4 linked regions of the Schizosaccharomyces pombe genome follow. The gene in region 4 interacts genetically with the main gene of each other region. Each region holds a gene or a part of one and is shown on either strand. Other genes may lie near its edges.

Region 1 (4,037 bases), 2.5 Mb from region 4:
TAGCTTGTTTTGACATAAGGTGGCATGTCTTCTTTTCAAAATTCGTAATTGATAATCATTACATATATACTAATATTTTGTTTATTCACAATCCAAAATTTGGACCTTAAAATTCATTAATAGATTGCTTTTAGATTAGAATATGAAATTGGAAGATGGTAGACGACTTAACGGACAAGAATTACTCTTTGGAAACATTTTGGACATTATAATAAAGGGCTCTGAATCCAAATACTTCTTGATTTGCGTGATAAACTTCATGAAGGTTTGAATCATCAACAGACCAGCCTAAGCTGGCAAATTTATTAACAGTTGGCAATAACAAGGGCTCAATTGAATCTTTCAAAACATTATTAAGAACTTCCAAATCTTTGGTTGTTCTTTGAGATGAAGGACTTGTGAGCCATACAGAGCAACGAGTCGATACCAAATCGTGAAGTGTCGGAATCCACGATGAAGAATAAAGTGGATGACTTATAAGAGGCATCGGAAGAAAAAAAGTATCATAGTAGGGGTCAAAAGGCTCAAAGGCTCCAACTCTATGCAAATTGTGGTAGTAATCCTGATGAAAATGAAGGCTGAGTGGGGAAGGCAAATTGGGTTGCTTAGAAGGAACAACAACTTCAGGTCCGATAAAATGCAATTGAAATAAACGACCTGGGAACAAAAAGTTCAATCCTTGTAACCAAATTGATGGTGGTAATGAACATTCTTTGGTAGCACCCAAAACGAAAATTCTAGTGGGTCTGGGATCAGTAGATTGAGCAGACAAAGGACGATGAAGCATATATCGTAGAGCAGTTAATGATTGTAGACCCTGGGGAGTTAACCCATTTTTTAAATTATAAGGAGAATTCTTGTGAAGGATAGCGCCGATTGACATGGGATATGTTAATAAACTAGTAATATGTCTAGCAGTTCTAGACGATTGGAACTTTGGGAAATCGCGGGTATAGAAGAATGAATCCCATGACAGAAGAGAAACTACTTCATCTTCTTCCATGGGTCCAGGAAGTTTGAGTAGTTCCGGCAAAGGGTTTGGTCGTGCTAAGTCATGATAGTCTTCATTAATTTGGCGTAGTTTTGGGATAAGGGATTGGTGAATCTTGTCCTGTTCCCAATGAGTTCTATTACAATGAGTAGGAAATCCAGATTCAGGACACTCATATTCCACTGACTTTCCCGAAATTGGACACCGATAGACTTGTTTGATATGCTCAGAGCGACGGCGAAGAGCCGTTAAGGGAGAACGCGATAAAGGATGGAATAATTCATGAGTTGGGGATTTCTTCTTGAAGAGATTTTTTAAAAACGACATAAGTAAAAAAAATATAAGCGAAACGTCACTCTTGAACCAAAAAACAACCTTCTACCGGTTTCAATGTAACTATAGGTAATGAAATAAATTTTTATGTCGGTGTTGCAGCTAAATTTAACAAGTATTGATTTAGGTGAACGTGTTTAGTAGCAGACGAAGAAACTAAAATTAAAAATGTCAAGGAACATAAAAAATACGTTAACAAGGCAAACTATTGAAATGCTTAGTAAAAAAAATTAACAAATTAGTTCGTAGAAGCAATTGCTTTGTTCATTAGCAACCGACATTCAGTAGCGAATTTTATTCTTTAAAAAAATATTAAGTATTGAGTTGACTCAACAAAGAGGTGATTTTCAATAATGTTGATATTAAAGAACTATCTAGTAAATCAATTGCATAACGGGAAATGCACTTTCTTTATTGGAAGTCTACAATGCAACTATAAGGAATACGAATCATCTCGAAAGTAGCTGTGTTAATCTAAGCTTCTATAATTTTCATTGCTCGTAATGTAAAGTGAACTCAATATTTTAGTAACAGTTCCAGCTGGCCCAACAAGACTGCAAACTGACCATACAGAATCCCAAAGCTGTTGTACTAATGAGCAACTAAAAATATATCTGATAAATTCTCAATGTTACATAGATGATTTATAACTTTACTGCGAAAATGTCTGCCTCTTATGACAAGCAAGTCATTAATTATCAGAGCCTTGCGAACCTATTCGTCTGCCACCTGACCTCGTCAAAGGCAGTAATTAAATTGGCAATATAATTCAGGCAAGATTTTTCAATTTTCTAAAATCCTTCGAATGCCCGCCTCCAAATATGCTGGATGGTCTCGAGACCAGCTAATATCCAGAATTTTAGAATTGGACGGGAAATTGCAAAAAAATACAAATTCACTTCCCAATAAAGAAATTGAGGGGAAAAATGAAGTAATTAAAAATAAAAACAAATTGGATAATGGAAATGAAATAGAACCCCAGCATCTGAGCCAAGAACTAGTTTTGCAACATGCGCTTCAGGACGCAAGTAGTCTTCCAAAACTGAAACCTGTCAGACCGTTTCAACTAGAAAAAACAGTTTTTGTTGCTTTTAAATTTGCCTATTGTGGTTGGAATTACAATGGTCTTGCCTACCAGTTAGAACCGACTCCTTTGCCCACTGTTGAAGGAAAGGTGTTTGAAGCGCTGTTGAGAGCTCATCTCATCACTGATCCTTCATCATGTTCCTTTAGTCGATGTGGACGTACTGATAAGGGAGTTTCAGCCATGGGTCAGGTTATATCATTAAATGTACGACATTCAGAAAGAAGACCTATCATATATTGTGATGTATTGAATCGCCTGTTGCCCGCAGATATACGTATTACTGGCTATGCATTTCCACCAGAAGGCTTTGATGCTCGATTTTCCTGTAAACAGCGTCATTATAAATACTTGTTTACTAAGGATTATCCCGGTGGTTCTCTTGACATTGATCGAATGAATGAAGCCGCAGCACTTTATCTAGGTGAGCATGACTTTCGAAATTTTTGCAAAATAGATGCTTCTAAACAAATTACAAATTATCACCGTCGAATTCTCAGTTCAAAGGTTATTTGCATTGATCCCAGTACCGGTCTTTACGCTTTTGACCTACAAGGAACTGCATTTTTATGGCATCAGGTACGATGTATGATGGCCATTCTATTTTTAATTGGTCAAAAGCTTGAGCCGGCCTCTCTCATCAATGATCTTTTGGATATTAAAAAGGTCCCTACTAAGCCAATTTATGATATGGCAAGTGAGTATCCTTTGATTTTGTACGACTGTGACTTTGATAATATTGAATGGACACTACCTACGGATAGTCCTACGACTGCTCCTCGTATCGCTAAACATACATATGAAACCATATATCATCAGTGGCATAGTCTACGTATTCGAGAGCAGATAGCTTCGTTTATGCTTGACATAGCAGATCATAATGTAAAAAGATATGGCAAATCGGAAGAGTCAAGCAGTACTATGAACGTTGGTGAAGGATTGCTGAAGCGAACAAAAAAGTACATCCCAATTCTTTCTAGACAACGTCAGGAATCAGTGGAGGTCGTCAATGAAAGATATAAACGTAAAAAAGGTTTAAAAGACAGTGACGTGAAGAGTGAAAATATTAAATAGATTGTCTTATGACAGAACAGGTTTTAGGTTAATTGCTAATTTTATTTTGGTCCAAAATATATTATCAATTTTAGTATAACCTTCTTAAATAATTAGTTGTAAGTAAGACTTATGATGTACTAAAATTATTTTGCTTTAAAAAGGTATTCCTTGTGTATGTAAGGGACAAGGGTTTCCGGAACTTTAACAGTGCCATCCTCTTGTTGGTGATTTTCAAGGATAGCTATTATTAACCTAGGGATGGCAGCTGCTGTGCCGTTCAGTGTGTGAACAAAACCCGAGTCTTTGTCATTTCGATATCGTGTGAGTAGACGCCTAGCTTGGTATTCAAGACAATTAGATGCTGAAGTTATCTCCCCGTATGATTGTCGCGCTGGCATCCACGCTTCGATGTCATATTTTTGAGAGGCCGAAGATCCCAATTCCGCAGTTGGCATATTCAAAATTCTATATTCGTTAGCATTAGATCATTAAAGTGGTATTTTTGTTAGATTTGATATGTACCTTGCGGGTATTTTTAAAGTTTCTACAAACTCTTTTTGAAAATTAACAATC
Region 2 (4,186 bases), 3.1 Mb from region 4:
ATAAAAATTTATGATGGGTAAGTAAATAGAATTATCTGATTTGTTATTTTGTGGGCATCACTTCTGTATTCATGTATTATTAATGAAACTTACTTAGTTTTCATTTATGTCTCTCTGTGTACTATTAATTTAATTCAAAAAATTCAGAAATGACCTGTCAAAATAGCCTCTTATGAATGCGGTTAATGTATGAGTTATTGACTGATAAAAAAACTAGATGCAGGCACCCTTGCTAAATTAATCAATGATGATGATGATTATTTTATTTTATAGCTTGACATTCGTTCTTTTTTTTAACCTTTTATTAATAATGGGTTAAATTATAACATCATATCGACTGGGGATGTAGTTTAGGGGTATAACGTTTCATTCGCATAGTTCGCACCTTGAAAAGGTCCCGGGTTCGATTCCCGGCATCTCCAATGTTAGAAACTATTTTTCCTTTTTATCCACATTTGTTTTATTTATTGACTACACGGCAAACAGGTTACATACACAAATGTATACTAGAAAAAATATAAAAGTGAATTTACTAATATAAGTAAGATGAGAACATTCTCTCAATGAATACACAAAAAATTTAAATCTATGACTTTGAGGAAGTAGTTAAAATAAATTTGTTCATGTAGCTAGCATAAATCATCGGCGTTAGAAAAAGCGGTGTAAGAATCATGTAAGTTCGAAATGTAAGTTTCTTCAGGAGAAGAATTTAGCATTTTGTGCAAATGAATTAAAGTATCTAAAGCGTTAACATATTAACAATAATTATTATATTCAAAAATTTACCAGAAAACGTAGAAAGTCCATCGATAAACAAGGTTTTTTTTATTCTTTCGAAATGCGATTTACAAGCATCTGCTGTCCATAGGTGATTAGCATATTCTGATAAGCATTTCCAATCAATCATCCGTTCCTCTGCAACATTAAGGTCCATCATTCTGAATTTAATTAGCTTCTTATTTAAAATTTTATAATTGGAGTACCTTTCAATTAACCATATACTATCGCCAAGTTTGAAAGGGGAACTATTATGTATATCTCTGGAAATTAGTGTGTAATACTTCCACCTACAATGATGACGGTGTCGATTTCTCATGTTTTTAGAAATTAGACTCCATTGAATAGGGGATGAAGGATTGCTTTGCAAGTATTGATTAACCGTTTTGATTAATTTTTCTTTCTCCTGGATAGTCCATGGTGAACGATTGATTTCACCAGGTTGAATGTAGTCGCGCCAATGATCTCTGCAATGCATTGGTAGTCTATTCGACAATTTGCCAATTAAGCTCCAGGATGTTCCATGTTTTTCAACAAGTCTATTAGTTAGTTGCAATTTGGAAAGTAAACTACATACTTTTTCAATTCTGCCTCATCTTCTATAGTCCATTTACATTTTTTCTTAAATGGATTATATTTTCTGCGGAGATAATTGTAAATACTCTTTTTATCCCTATCGATAAGCTCATCTATTATTAATTAGTAACAAGTGATAGTAATTGACTTACACAAACAATTATATAATGTTTTCATTTCATCACGATGGTTATCAGACCAAACATATTGAAGAAATTGTTCATCAGACCAATTTTTTTTCTGTTTTTTAATATTTATAATAAAACAGCAAGCTAAAGACCATACCTTTTTAAACATAGCAATTTCTTTTTCCAAAGTGATAATGTCGTTTGCTCCCCATGATCCAGACGACGCTTTTTTAACGTATTGAAACCTTTCATAACCTGGAATGTTAAAATATCCCTTAAGATGCCTATACACAGTCCTTCGTGAAACATTGGGCACTTGAATTTCTAGACTTGAATTAGCGGATTTTTTTGAAAGCACTCAGGTGTCATACGAAATTGAATGAGTAAATTATTGAAAGGTTTTGGAAGTCTTTTGGTTTTAATAAGAAGATCTCTCGCAGCCACAAAGTTTAATTCGCTTTCTTTCAAAAATTCATCAATTAGTTGACTTAACAGAACCCAAAAAGTGGGTGTCCAGTTGGTGTAATCTCTACTGAATACAAAGTCTTTATATGAAGTAGTGCCTGTTTTTTTGAAGCCTCGACATGTTTCATGGTCTTTCGCACTTCCAGCAATTGCTGTTTTCACATTTTCAGGTGATACCATAGTCTCATCATAATTGTATTCATGAAAGCTTATGGGGTTTCCCAAGTAAATGAAAGAACTTGTATTTTTCGAGTCACCAATGGGTGATAAGAGTTGATCATCGACAAAGAGCTCTTCATTGTCCTCTGTATCCGGTCTGCAACTTAAATTGTTTTTTCCTTGCATAATAATGTTCACTTGTCTGAAGAAATATTAAGAAAAAAACATTGACAAAAGGTAATCAGTATAGCAAGGGACCCGGGGTGTAATAGTTCATGTAAGACAAAACCAAATAGCGCAGGCAACTTCAATTATTCAATCTATAATTGAACTTTTGATACTTTGCAATTCTGAATTCTAATTAACTAGTGAGCCTGTTAAAATTGGGTAACATTATAGAGCGTTGGTGTAGCTAAATAGTGTACGATACATGCAGTGATGGTTTTTGAGAGCATTTTTAAAAAAATTTCAAAATTTCTTAAGATGTGACTCTCTTGTTTATGATATATACATGTAAAATTTTTAAAATAGAAAATTAAGTATGAGTGGTTTAGAAGAGTTTTTTTAGTTGAAAACGTTTACAGGTATCTGCCTCATATCAAACTTAAAAAAAAAAAAGAATAAATTAAAACGATAAAATATCTCTATTGGCTTTTGTTTACTAATAATCACTATTTTTTATCAATTAGGTACAAAGTTCCTGCCTATGTTAAAATTATTAGGGTAATAACGTGTGTCACCGATATAATTACTACGATACATAGTATTTAATAACGAAACTGTAAAGCTCGTTAACTTTCCAGTGATTACCTTAACTTTCCATCTACGTTAGTTGAACCAGCGAATGTAGCTGCCATTTACCTACTCCAGGGAACACTGTTAAAAACGTCTTTTTGTGAAAAGGAAGGAAAAATAGAGGGATCTTCAAAAAAGTTATTAAATAATTCAGTGTTTCTTTTCTTTTTTTTGCTAGCAATATACCACTGTAAGTAAAAAAAAATACACTAAAGCAATGAGTCAGGAGGACGCTTTCTACGGAAAGGGTAGTTATGGAGCTAGTAGTGGAAATTCGAATATACCTCCTCAAGGATTTCAGCCAGTTTATCCAGTTGCTGGCCAGCTAGATAATACCGCTCCTTATGTCGGGGCAGTTGCTGAGGGTACAGCTGAAGGCATTGTAAGCAATGGTGAATACGCTGTTGGAGCTATGGGTGCTGCTCCTACCAACATAATAGGATCTGTCGATCAACAACCACCCGTTTCTCATACCTCTCATAAGTCTCGTAGACAGTATCCTGCTGAGGTGTTTGAACTTACAAATACCTTAGCAGCGTCACCGGCTCCCCCTTCTCTTTCAGAGCCCTCTTACGTTATGGCACGAACTCCATCCTCTTCACCATATCCTCATGATCGCGCAGAGGTGGGAACTAAATCTCTCTCTGCACAATTTGGCGGAATGTCACTTGGAGCAGATGGTGCAGCAGCTATGCCTACCAATGAGTTAGTTTCTGTTGATTTGTACAATCAAACACCAGAAATTTCTGACTTAACCTCTCCTCCTCCTCCTATTAATTTACCCTTAAGCTATTCCGCTACTGGAGCAGCTACTTCCAATTGCCCTCCCAAATATGTTCGATCCACGATAAACTGTGTACCGACAACAAATAGCTTGTTAAAAAAGTCAAAAATTCCATTTGCATTAGTCATCCGTCCATATACTAGCTTGGTCGAAGAAGATGATCCAGTTCCAGTTGTTACTGATACTATTATATCACGATGCCGCAGGTGTCGTATGTATATCAATCCTTTTAGTATCTTTATTGACAATGGCCATCGCTATCGCTGTAATTCTTGTGGTATTGTTAATGAAGTACCCCAGTCATATGACTGGGACAGTTTCAGAAATGTCCAACGTGATCGCTGGCAACGTCCTGAGCTCAATTATGCAGTTGTTGATTTTATTGCTCCTCAAGAATATATGGTTCGTGCTCCACAACCTTTGGTTTACGTATTTTTAATTGATATTTCGTTTGTATCCATATCTTCTGGTATGGTTGGTACTGCAAGTCGTGCAATTCTGG
Region 3 (5,560 bases), 960 kb from region 4:
CAATAAATGAGACTATTAATAACTATCTTTTGTTAACATATTAAGATGAGGTCTTTATAAAGCATTTCTGTTAATAGGGAAACTAAATTATAGGTCTTAGGTAGCAGGACCTAATTGTAGGCGTAAGTGTTATTACCCGGCACTGTATTGCTTGTTTTTCAATTTTGATTTTGAATAACCATTAATTTAATTGTAAAATCTACCGAAAGCAAATGTCTCATTTTCGCAATCAATCTTAAAATCAGTTTGTACTAATAAATAAATATTGCTAAATTGATGGAGTTACCTCACTGTCAATGAGCGATTTCGCATATTTTAGTTTCCACATCTCCAAACAAAATGGGATAATCCTACTACCAAATACTTTCTGCGCTACACCACCTTTAGGGGAATTTTTGGGTCTGACCTGAAAACATAATCCAAGAAAAAGAATTCAATGTTTAATCAACGCTTAGTACACACATCAAGGATAGCTATTCGTAATGTACAATACTTACGCTATAATAGTACATGTAAGCAAACTTAGGAATAGTCATTTATTTGCTAACGCTTCAGCAATCCCAAATCTTCAAGCAGTTATTCGTAAAAAATTGCTGGATTCCATGAAATCTAGGCAAAAAGATGTTGCGTCTACTTTAAAAGTACGTTGGAAATAAAACGTGACGGTCTACATGTTAAATTGCATCAGTGTTCAAGCAATGTGAAGAGGCTGTCAGAACTATGTTATCTATGTTTGTAGATGAATATGACGCTAACAAGCTTAGGTATTTCTCTCGGAAATCGAATATGCAAACAAGTCGAGTAAGCCAGTTACTACAGACTTAGACGTTCTGCGAGTACTTAAAAAAAACATAAAAAAGCGTAAACAAGCTATTGAACAGTTTCGCAAGGCTGAGCGTCTTGATCTAGCGGAAAAAGAAGAATCTCAGATTCAAACTTTACGACAATTCCTACCTGAACATGCTAGTAATATTTAAAAATCTGTAAAAAGAATACAATCTAGTCATTTAATAAGTCTCTATCCTTCAATGCTTTATCAGCTTACCCTCGAATTTAAAAATATCTTGACTTAAATAACTCAACGTTCTTAATGTGTGCAAGCCACGCTACTAAAGACAGTTTCTTTTGGTTTTTTAATAACAATGTTATACTACGCAGCAATATGACACGATTGATTCTGCAACGTATCATTACATATCCTGTAAATGCTATGCGCTCTTTCAATGTTTTGAATTGAACAGCTAAGACTTATGTAATGAGAAGCTTTCTGAGTTTTTTTACACTGATTCAATTTATGCATGTGAGTTTCCATTCATACAATTAAATTAAACAATCGTCGCTGTTTTCAGCTCTTAACAGCATTATCTTATTATTAGTAATGAAATTTTGGTTAAAATTTGATAAGCGATCGGTATCTTAATTATTTAAAATAAAAGTTAATGCGGTAAAGTAAGTGAAACTATTGCAACGCTTCGATATCTCATCTGTTGAACTATTTGAAGCCGAAAAAATTGGAAACTTTAATTTTTTTCCTTTATAATGAGTATTGTATTAAATGCTTGAATGGTTTATTTAATAGCATTGGAGGTTGGAGGCAAGTAAGCCAATTCCCTCTTTGCGCTCATTATGTGACGGCGACTTACCAGCTAACTCAGCAATTACCAACTACCTTTAAATACGCCAGAAAATTAATAATAGCCCGAAACGTTCTTTGTGCCAGTTTGTAATTTAAATTCGTACAGGCCCATGATTACACGTTTATCGGGCGCTTGCTTGAGGCGATCAGGTGCTAAAAGAAATTGGCCTCGTGAACATTTGGTTCATCGGTCTTTGCTTGCTAGTTTTTCCACTACACAGAGGGTTTTAAAATGCTCAGTCGGACCTTTTCGTACTTCAAATGTTGTTTTCAAAAGTAAAGAACCAAAAGATAACAAACCACTGGATAACAAAAACGATCCCAAAAAGACACATAATGAAGATGAGTCACATACCAACGAATCTTTGCCATCTACGGATAAAAAGAAAAAAAAGGATAATGACGATTTTAAGCAAAATTTGAAATCTTCTTCAAATAAGACTGAGGAAAAGTATTCTGCTACACAAGCTTCTAAGTCTAAAAATGACGAATTTGAATTAGGTGGTGAAGAAAATGAGGATGAAATGCCTTTAAATGGGGAATTTAATAAAAATGTTCCGGCCAAATATTCGGTTCCTGATGTGTATCCTCAATTACTTGCGTTACCCATTGCGCGACGACCTCTTTTCCCTGGTTTTTATAAAGCCATAGTTACCAAAAATCCCTCTGTTTCAGAGGCCATTAAAGAACTGATTAAAAAGAGACAACCTTATATCGGCGCGTTTTTGTTGAAGGATGAAAACACTGATACCGATGTTATAACGAACATTGATCAGGTTTACCCGGTCGGTGTTTTCGCTCAAATCACCAGTATTTTTCCAGCAAAAAGTGGTAGTGAACCTGCATTGACTGCTGTTTTATACCCTCACCGTAGGATACGAATAACTGAACTGATACCTCCAAAAGAGGATGCTGATAGCGCTGCTTCTTCAGACGCAGCAGAACTTGAAACCGATAAAAGCTCTAATCTTTCTTCCAATGGAGAAGTTAAGTCTGATCTCAAACAAGACAATGGGAAAGAGGAACCTGAAAAGGAAGTTGAAAGCACACCCTCAATTCTTCAAAACTTTAAAGTCTCTCTTGTTAATGTCGAAAACGTTCCTAATGAACCTTTTAAACGACAGGATCCTGTAATTAAGGCGGTAACGTCTGAGATTATGAATGTTTTCAAAGATATTGCAAACGTTAGTCCCCTCTTTCGTGAACAAATTGCCAATTTTTCAATATCGCAAACGTCTGGCAATGTTTTTGATGAACCTGCTAAATTGGCAGATTTTGCTGCCGCTGTTTCGGCTGCAGATCATCGCGAATTACAGGAGGTTTTAGAAGCTACAAATATAGGAGATCGTTTGCAAAAGGCTTTGTATGTACTAAAAAAGGAACTATTGAATGCCCAACTTCAGCATAAAATTAACAAGGAAATTGAGCAGAAGATAACTCAACGCCATAAAGAATATCTTTTAACCGAACAGCTAAAGCAAATTAAAAGAGAACTTGGACAAGAACTTGATAGCAAAGAAGCATTAGTAACTGAGTTCAAGAAACGAACTGAAAGCTTGAGTATGCCTGATCACGTGAAAAAGGTTTTCAATGATGAACTGTCCAAATTTCAGCATTTAGAACCAATGGCTGCTGAATTTAACATTACTCGTAATTATTTGGACTGGATAACCCAACTTCCTTGGGGAAAGAGGTCTGTTGAAAATTTCGATTTAGATCATGCAAAGGAAGTCCTTGATCGAGATCATTATGGGCTTAAAGATGTTAAGGATCGTGTTCTTGAGTTAGTAGCTGTAGGTAAGCTAAGAGGAACTATGCAAGGAAAGATTATGTGTTTAGTTGGTCCGCCAGGTGTCGGTAAGACTTCTGTTGGAAAATCTATTGCATCTGCCTTAAACAGGGAATTCTTTCGCTTCAGTGTGGGCGGTCTGACTGATGTCGCTGAAATCAAAGGACATCGTCGTACCTATATCGGAGCAATGCCTGGAAAAATTGTGCAAGCTTTGAAAAAGGTGCAAACTGAGAACCCTTTGATTCTTATTGATGAAATAGACAAAGTGGGCAAAAGTCATCAAGGGGATCCTGCGAGTGCACTTTTAGAGCTTTTAGATTCAGAACAGAACTCAGCTTTCCTAGATTACTATATGGATATTCCACTCGATGTTTCATCTGTTTTATTTGTCTGCACGGCGAACACCATTGATACTATTCCTCCACCTTTGTTGGATCGTATGGAGGTTATTGAACTATCTGGATATGTTTCAGCTGAAAAAGTTAACATTGCTAAAGGTTATCTTATACCCCAAGCCAAAGCTGCTTGTGGTTTAAAGGATGCTAATGTGAATATCAGTGATGACGCTATTAAGGGTTTAATTAGTTACTATGCTCATGAAAGCGGTGTACGAAATTTGAAAAAATCTATTGAGAAAATATTTCGTAAAACATCTTTTAGTATTGTTAAAGAAATTGACGATGAATTAAATTCTAAAGAGAAGTCTACGGGTAAGTCGGGAAAGAAAACATCTCCTCAATCATCAGAAGATGCAGCAAACAAAGAAGCATCATCTGTTCCGTTAAAAGTTCCCGATAAAGTTAATATCGAGATTGAAGAAAAGGACTTGACTAAATATTTGGGTCCCCCCATTTATACTTCTCAGCGACTTTATGACACTACTCCTCCTGGTGTTGTCATGGGACTTGGTTGGACACCCATGGGAGGTGTTTCGATGTATGTAGAAACTATTGTTAAAAACATTTTATCATCCAATTCTACTCCCTCTTTGGAAAGGACGGGGCAACTGGGAGATGTGATGAAAGAGTCATCTGAAATTTCGTATTCCTTTTCAAAAAGCTTTTTGTCTAAGCATTTTCCAAATAATAAATTTTTTGAACATGCGCGTTTGCATATGCATTGTCCCGAAGGCTCCATTTCTAAGGATGGCCCATCAGCAGGTATCACAATGGCTACATCTTTACTTTCTTTAGCATTGGATACTCCGGTACCAGCGACTACTGCCATGACTGGTGAGCTAACCTTGACCGGTAAAATTTTACGCATTGGTGGCTTACGAGAAAAGACGGTTGCTGCCAAATTATCTGGTATGAAAGAAATACTATTTCCAAAAAGTAACTTAGCCGATTGGGAACAACTTCCTGATTATGTTAAAGAAGGTTTAACTGGTGTCCCTGTTGCATGGTATGATGATGTTTTTAAACGGGTTTTTTCAAACATTGATGCCGAAAAATGCAACAATCTTTGGCCAAATTTAATAAAGTCATCCTCCAAGCAGCATCAAATTTCACCCAGTCATTAACATTCTCCTATTAGAAGGATACTACCTTTATGAAGAAATTATCTAAATTCATTATGTAATAGATATAGTTAATAACGATTTATGTATTGTGCTATATTTAAAAGACAACATGTAGTTTGAATTTATTCTGTTCAATCGTTCGTAAAACAGTAATATCTTTCTATAAAGTTGATAGCTTAAGCCCTTGTTGAGTAACGCAATGCAAGGCAAATTCATCGCATATTTTCTTATTTCTTGGTTACTCTACTATTGAGAAATGGGATTATTGACTATTTTGAGACAGCAAAAGCTAAAGGAACGAGAAGTCAGGGTTTTGTTACTGTAAGATGATTCAAATATATACAGAGTGAAATCTAATGACTTTAGGGGGTTGGATAATGCAGGTAAAACGACAATTTTGAAGTGCCTGTTGAACGAGGATGTAAGTATCTTTTAAGGCTCCATAATTTATCGATTGATAGGTAAATGAAGTTTCGCCTACCTTTGGCTTTCAAATTCGAACGCTTGAAGTAGAAGGACTCCGATTCACGATATGTACGTAGCTTGCAATTTTCGAAATGAACAGTCTTAAGCTTACTAATTCAAGGGGACATTGGGGGGCAGAAAACGC
Region 4 (4,061 bases):
GTCAGTAGTTGTAAATTATGAGAAAAACAAAATAATGACTAGAAGGGATAGTAATAATAATAATAATAATAAAAACAGTAATAGTAATGACTAATCAGATTTAACTTTTTAAGGAGAAAAAGTATCTTTTTGGATATATCGTTAATAAATAAATAATAATCAGTTGAACAATCAATCATCCCCGTCACGGTCAAAAATATCCCAAAAATCTTGCTGATCCAAGTCTGCATCAGACAAAAAAGGAGACTTCGTTTCAGATGAAGAATCATTGGTGGAAGGCGTAGTTTCCTGGTCGTTTTTTAAAATTTCCTGAGCAGACAGGTCTTCAGCTGGATAATCGTGGTTGGAGGAAGAACCTCCAAACATAAACGGAATATTCAGTCCCAGTGCTGGGCCACCATGAATACGGCTAAAATAATCAAAATCAATAGTGACAGCACTGCCTAGCATAACTGCCCTTTCTTCTAAACTCATATCACGTGCACAAACATCATTAGCGATTCCATGAGCAGCTTGAAGCAATTGATTTTCATTTACAGAACCATTGGCTGCACTCGTAGAGGTAAATCGAAGAACGTAATTACCAGTATCAGTAAAAAATTCACGAGGAAGCCCCATGAAATTCCGTGAAACACTACCTAGGATGCGATCCTGCTCGTTTCGCAACAGAAACTCCCAACTTAGCACTCGCTCATCAATTTTGGCAAACTGTTCAAACATAGAACGCTTCGCAAGGAACAATTCATAGCGACGGCGCCATAAATGCCATTTTTGAAGGACTTCGCCAACTAAAGTAGACGAGAACTTACTGTAATCAATAGAATGAATTTGTAACCGGGAGTTTATCCAAGAAAATGGTCGATTGAGTTGTAACACCAACTGGCCGTTACTGTCCATTACATCTGCCTTAAACGCACGATGTGTGTGGAAAAATTGTCTTGATAAACTTGATAATATGGATGAGGCACCCTGTTCTGCAATGTATCCAAGATGCTGACCTTGTTGGTTAAGAATTACATAGCGGTTAGCCTGTTCATAACCAAGAAAAACATTCATCATTTCAAGTTGCCTCTCTACTATAAGAACATCTTGTGATAATAAAGGGGCCGCTGGAGAATTTAATGGAATAGCTCCAGTACTGCTAATGGCAGCAGGCTCTTGAGAGACTACTTTCGCTGTAGCGTCAATGTATCGTGTAGATTTGCTATGATGATAAAGGCGACATCCAAACCGTTTGAGCCCATAAAGCATAGTTAAATGATTACTGGAGACAAAGGTTTGAATTGGAGTAATGTTAGCCCATAGAATTTCAAGCATAGGTTTGAGAAATTAAAATTAGTTTGTGGTTCACCTATACCACAGAGGGTTGCTGAGACAAATATGTAATAAAGGCTGTGTAGTAAGTTTCACAATTTAAAATAGCACATACTATGCGATTACCTTAAAGCTTTACGAAATATAGGATACTACATTAAATTGCTTATGAACAGCTAACATTGCGGTAATTTCCTGTTTACTTTTGTTTACATTGAGAATTCCGAATTCTATAATTACCAACTAGACACATCACAATGATTGCACTTGAAAAACTTTCAGAAAAGAACAAAAGGAGCACTAAGAAGTGTGAAATTTCCATTTACGTAGGGAATTTACCTTCAACGTGCCAAAGCTCAGATCTTCATGAACTGTTTGAACCTTTCGGTAATCGTATATGAATAAACAATTTTTTCTCTAACTGTTTAAGGTAATTTCTCAAAATTCCACATGCTAAGTAGAAAGAAGAATAAGAGTACTGACTCTAAATCCCCAACTTTATTTGCATTTATCACATTTGAAAACAAATGTAGCGCTGACAACGCAATTGCCTCCTTAAACGGGAGTTCGTTCCAAGGAAATACTTTGTACGTAGATTTTAAAATAATAAACGCTAATAGAGCAACAATTATAGGAAGGTCGAGTATACGCATATCGTGGAGAGATACAAAAATAAGTTGGAAAATGGAGTTGACCAAATTCATCACTCGAATAATGAAAAAGCAAAAATTCGGTTTTCAAAAATAGAAAAGTATACAAAGGAAACACGACCGACAGTATCAGAGGTTCGAGTTAGTACCAAAGACAAAAAGGAATATTCGATGAATACCTCAAATTTAGTTCAATCAAACCCCCCAAAAGTGCACGACAAAGAGAATGCATTTGCAGAAGCAACAGGAACTAGTATACTTAGCTCAAAAGCAGTTCAAACACTCTTAGTTTCAGATTTCACGGAGAATGAGCCAAAGCATCTGTCTATCAGGCCAAATTGCAAAGATAATAATACACCGTCCATTTCTAACACTTTTATTGAGCCATATAAGGAAAATAACACGGAACATTTACACCTAAAATCTGCTTTTGAACCCTGTCAAATGATGCCAGGTATGCTTCTAGAACAGAATCCCCAATTTTTGTACGACAACCCTTCTATTTTTGTGATTGGGATTTTAAACCTTCCGTTGAAAGTATCACCAGTCGAGCTTTACAATGAGTTTAGCAATCATGGTCACATTCTCGGTGTAGCCATCAATCAAAGCATAAATGAAGATATGACTCACTACGCAGAAGTGGCTGTGAGCACCTATGAAAGTTGCATAGAGGTATTAAGCAAGCTATTTTTTGCTATAGCATTACTGACCTTTTAATTTAGATCATTGAAAAATTTCACGCCATTGCGTATGAAGGATCCATTTTACAACTTTTTATAAAACAACCTGTTCAGGGATTTTGCTCTAATTTGTTAAATCACCCAGAAGGAACCATGACAAATTTATTGCCCCCAAATATGGAAATGCCTCAGCCGTTTGAAATTCCAGTGATTGCCAAAACTTCTGCTTTGCCAAATCCATTTATTTCATTCCCTTCTTTCCAAACATCGTATGAAACGACAGTAACGCCAACACCAACCTCAACACCGACAATTGATCCTTGTAATTTATTTGTTAAAAACTTGGATGATAATATAGTAGGAAACACACAACAATTAGAAGAACTGTTTTCGAAATTTGGAAGGATAAAATCTTGCACTTTAGCGTCGTATCCCAGTACAGAAATATCCAAAGGCTATGGTTTCGTATCCTTCAGTCATCCATTTGAAGCTGTGCAAGCAATTAACACGTTAAATGGAGTGTTATTCGGAAAGAAAAGATTATTCGTGAATTATGCAGAAAAGAGAGAAGATCGCAAAAAGCGACTGAGTGCTATATTTAGCCAATCTTACCCTCCAGTTGTTCCATCGCCCTCTCTAACAATTCCAATGGCTACTGAACCACAAATTTTAGAGTATCATCAGGAATGGCCTCAACCTCTAATACAATCTATACAGCAGCACGGGTATAGCGATCCTAGACAAACATTACCAACTCGTTTAGATTCATGTGCCGCTAAGCTACGTGAAGCGGTGATTTCAAACGAAAACCTAAACCCAAGCCATAAATTCGGCATAAAACACTCCACATTCAAAACTTCACTATCGCCTTTAACCAACATTGTATTAAACCAATAAATAAAAGCAAGATATGTCTAAAGGACATAATATCAGTACCTGTCGTTTAAATATTTTAACAGTTCTTTTTTTTAATCTATCTCCCATGAAATTTAGGGACATAGTATTATACAAAGAAGATCGGAAAAAGTTGAAACACAAGGAGTCGTTAACAACGGTTGAAATTTCACATTTTAGCTCTGGAAAAGTATGTTTATTTTATAAAAGAAGAAAAGAAGAAAAAACCCCAAAAAAACAAGAATAATAAAAGATAATTGGACAGCTCTGCGAATATTTTTATTTTCTCAAAATATGAATACGCTCATTCTACATTAAATCACTCAATCTACACAAAAGGAATTAGTATAATAAAATAGTTTATAAAAAGAACATACTTATCTGCTTTTTTGACGATCATATAGCGAAGAACCGAAGGTTCAAGTCTCAGAATCCTCTGTATCTCAGATTGAACTGTGGGGTTACTGTAAAAGGTCATAGACCACCAGTGACCAAAAGAGTAAGATTGATTTAGTTTTTTTAT

What was found.
Region 1: mutations in mug28 (region 4) and deg1 together harm fitness more than expected from each alone (negative genetic interaction), as found in Schizosaccharomyces pombe (one large-scale study listed by BioGRID).
Region 2: mutations in mug28 (region 4) and rtf1 together harm fitness less than expected from each alone (positive genetic interaction), as found in Schizosaccharomyces pombe (one large-scale study listed by BioGRID).
Region 3: mutations in mug28 (region 4) and lon1 together harm fitness more than expected from each alone (negative genetic interaction), as found in Schizosaccharomyces pombe (one large-scale study listed by BioGRID).

What each region holds. Positions count from the first base shown.
Region 1 is NC_003424.3:4,160,671-4,164,707, forward strand, and holds deg1 (tRNA-pseudouridine synthase), read left to right. Parts: upstream 1-2,048; 5' UTR 2,049-2,129; coding exon 2,130-3,482; 3' UTR 3,483-3,537; downstream 3,538-4,037. Other genes in the region: splicing suppressor Mss51, read right to left, coding at 182-1,318; dia4 (serine--tRNA (Ser) ligase), read right to left, coding at 3,608-3,929, 3,987-4,037.
Region 2 is NC_003424.3:4,796,638-4,800,823, forward strand, and holds rtf1 (RNA polymerase I termination factor Rtf1), read right to left. Parts: upstream 2,491-4,186; 5' UTR 2,292-2,490; coding exon 1,853-2,291; exon of another isoform or gene 1,806-1,852; coding exon 1,639-1,805; intron 1,594-1,638; coding exon 1,506-1,593; intron 1,467-1,505; coding exon 1,355-1,466; exon of another isoform or gene 1,317-1,354; coding exon 984-1,316; exon of another isoform or gene 939-983; coding exon 787-938; intron 740-786; coding exon 630-739; 3' UTR 558-629; downstream 1-557. Other genes in the region: sec24 (coincidence detector Sec24/Sfb2 subunit), read left to right, coding at 3,118-4,186. UniProt on the Schizosaccharomyces pombe protein: Mediates site-specific replication termination at the polar replication barrier RTS1, a barrier which ensures that replication of the mat1 locus in S.pombe occurs in the centromere-proximal direction.
Region 3 is NC_003424.3:692,085-697,644, forward strand, and holds lon1 (Lon protease), read left to right. Parts: upstream 1-1,653; 5' UTR 1,654-1,746; coding exon 1,747-4,950; 3' UTR 4,951-5,046; downstream 5,047-5,560. Other genes in the region: mitochondrial aspartyl/glutamyl-tRNA amidotransferase subunit B-related Aim41, read left to right, coding at 483-641, 765-977; GTP-binding protein involved in beta-tubulin folding Alp41, read left to right, coding at 5,207-5,271, 5,317-5,371, 5,412-5,484, 5,537-5,560.
Region 4 is NC_003424.3:1,649,441-1,653,501, forward strand, and holds mug28 (RNA-binding protein Mug28, implicated in mRNA processing), read left to right. Parts: upstream 1-1,571; coding exon 1,572-1,701; exon of another isoform or gene 1,702-1,744; coding exon 1,745-1,901; exon of another isoform or gene 1,902-1,948; coding exon 1,949-2,636; exon of another isoform or gene 2,637-2,686; coding exon 2,687-3,541; downstream 3,542-4,061. Other genes in the region: pls1 (phospholipid scramblase), read right to left, coding at 172-1,317; mrp17 (mitochondrial 37S ribosomal protein bS6m), read right to left, coding at 3,848-3,866, 3,916-4,061. UniProt on the Schizosaccharomyces pombe protein: Has a role in sporulation.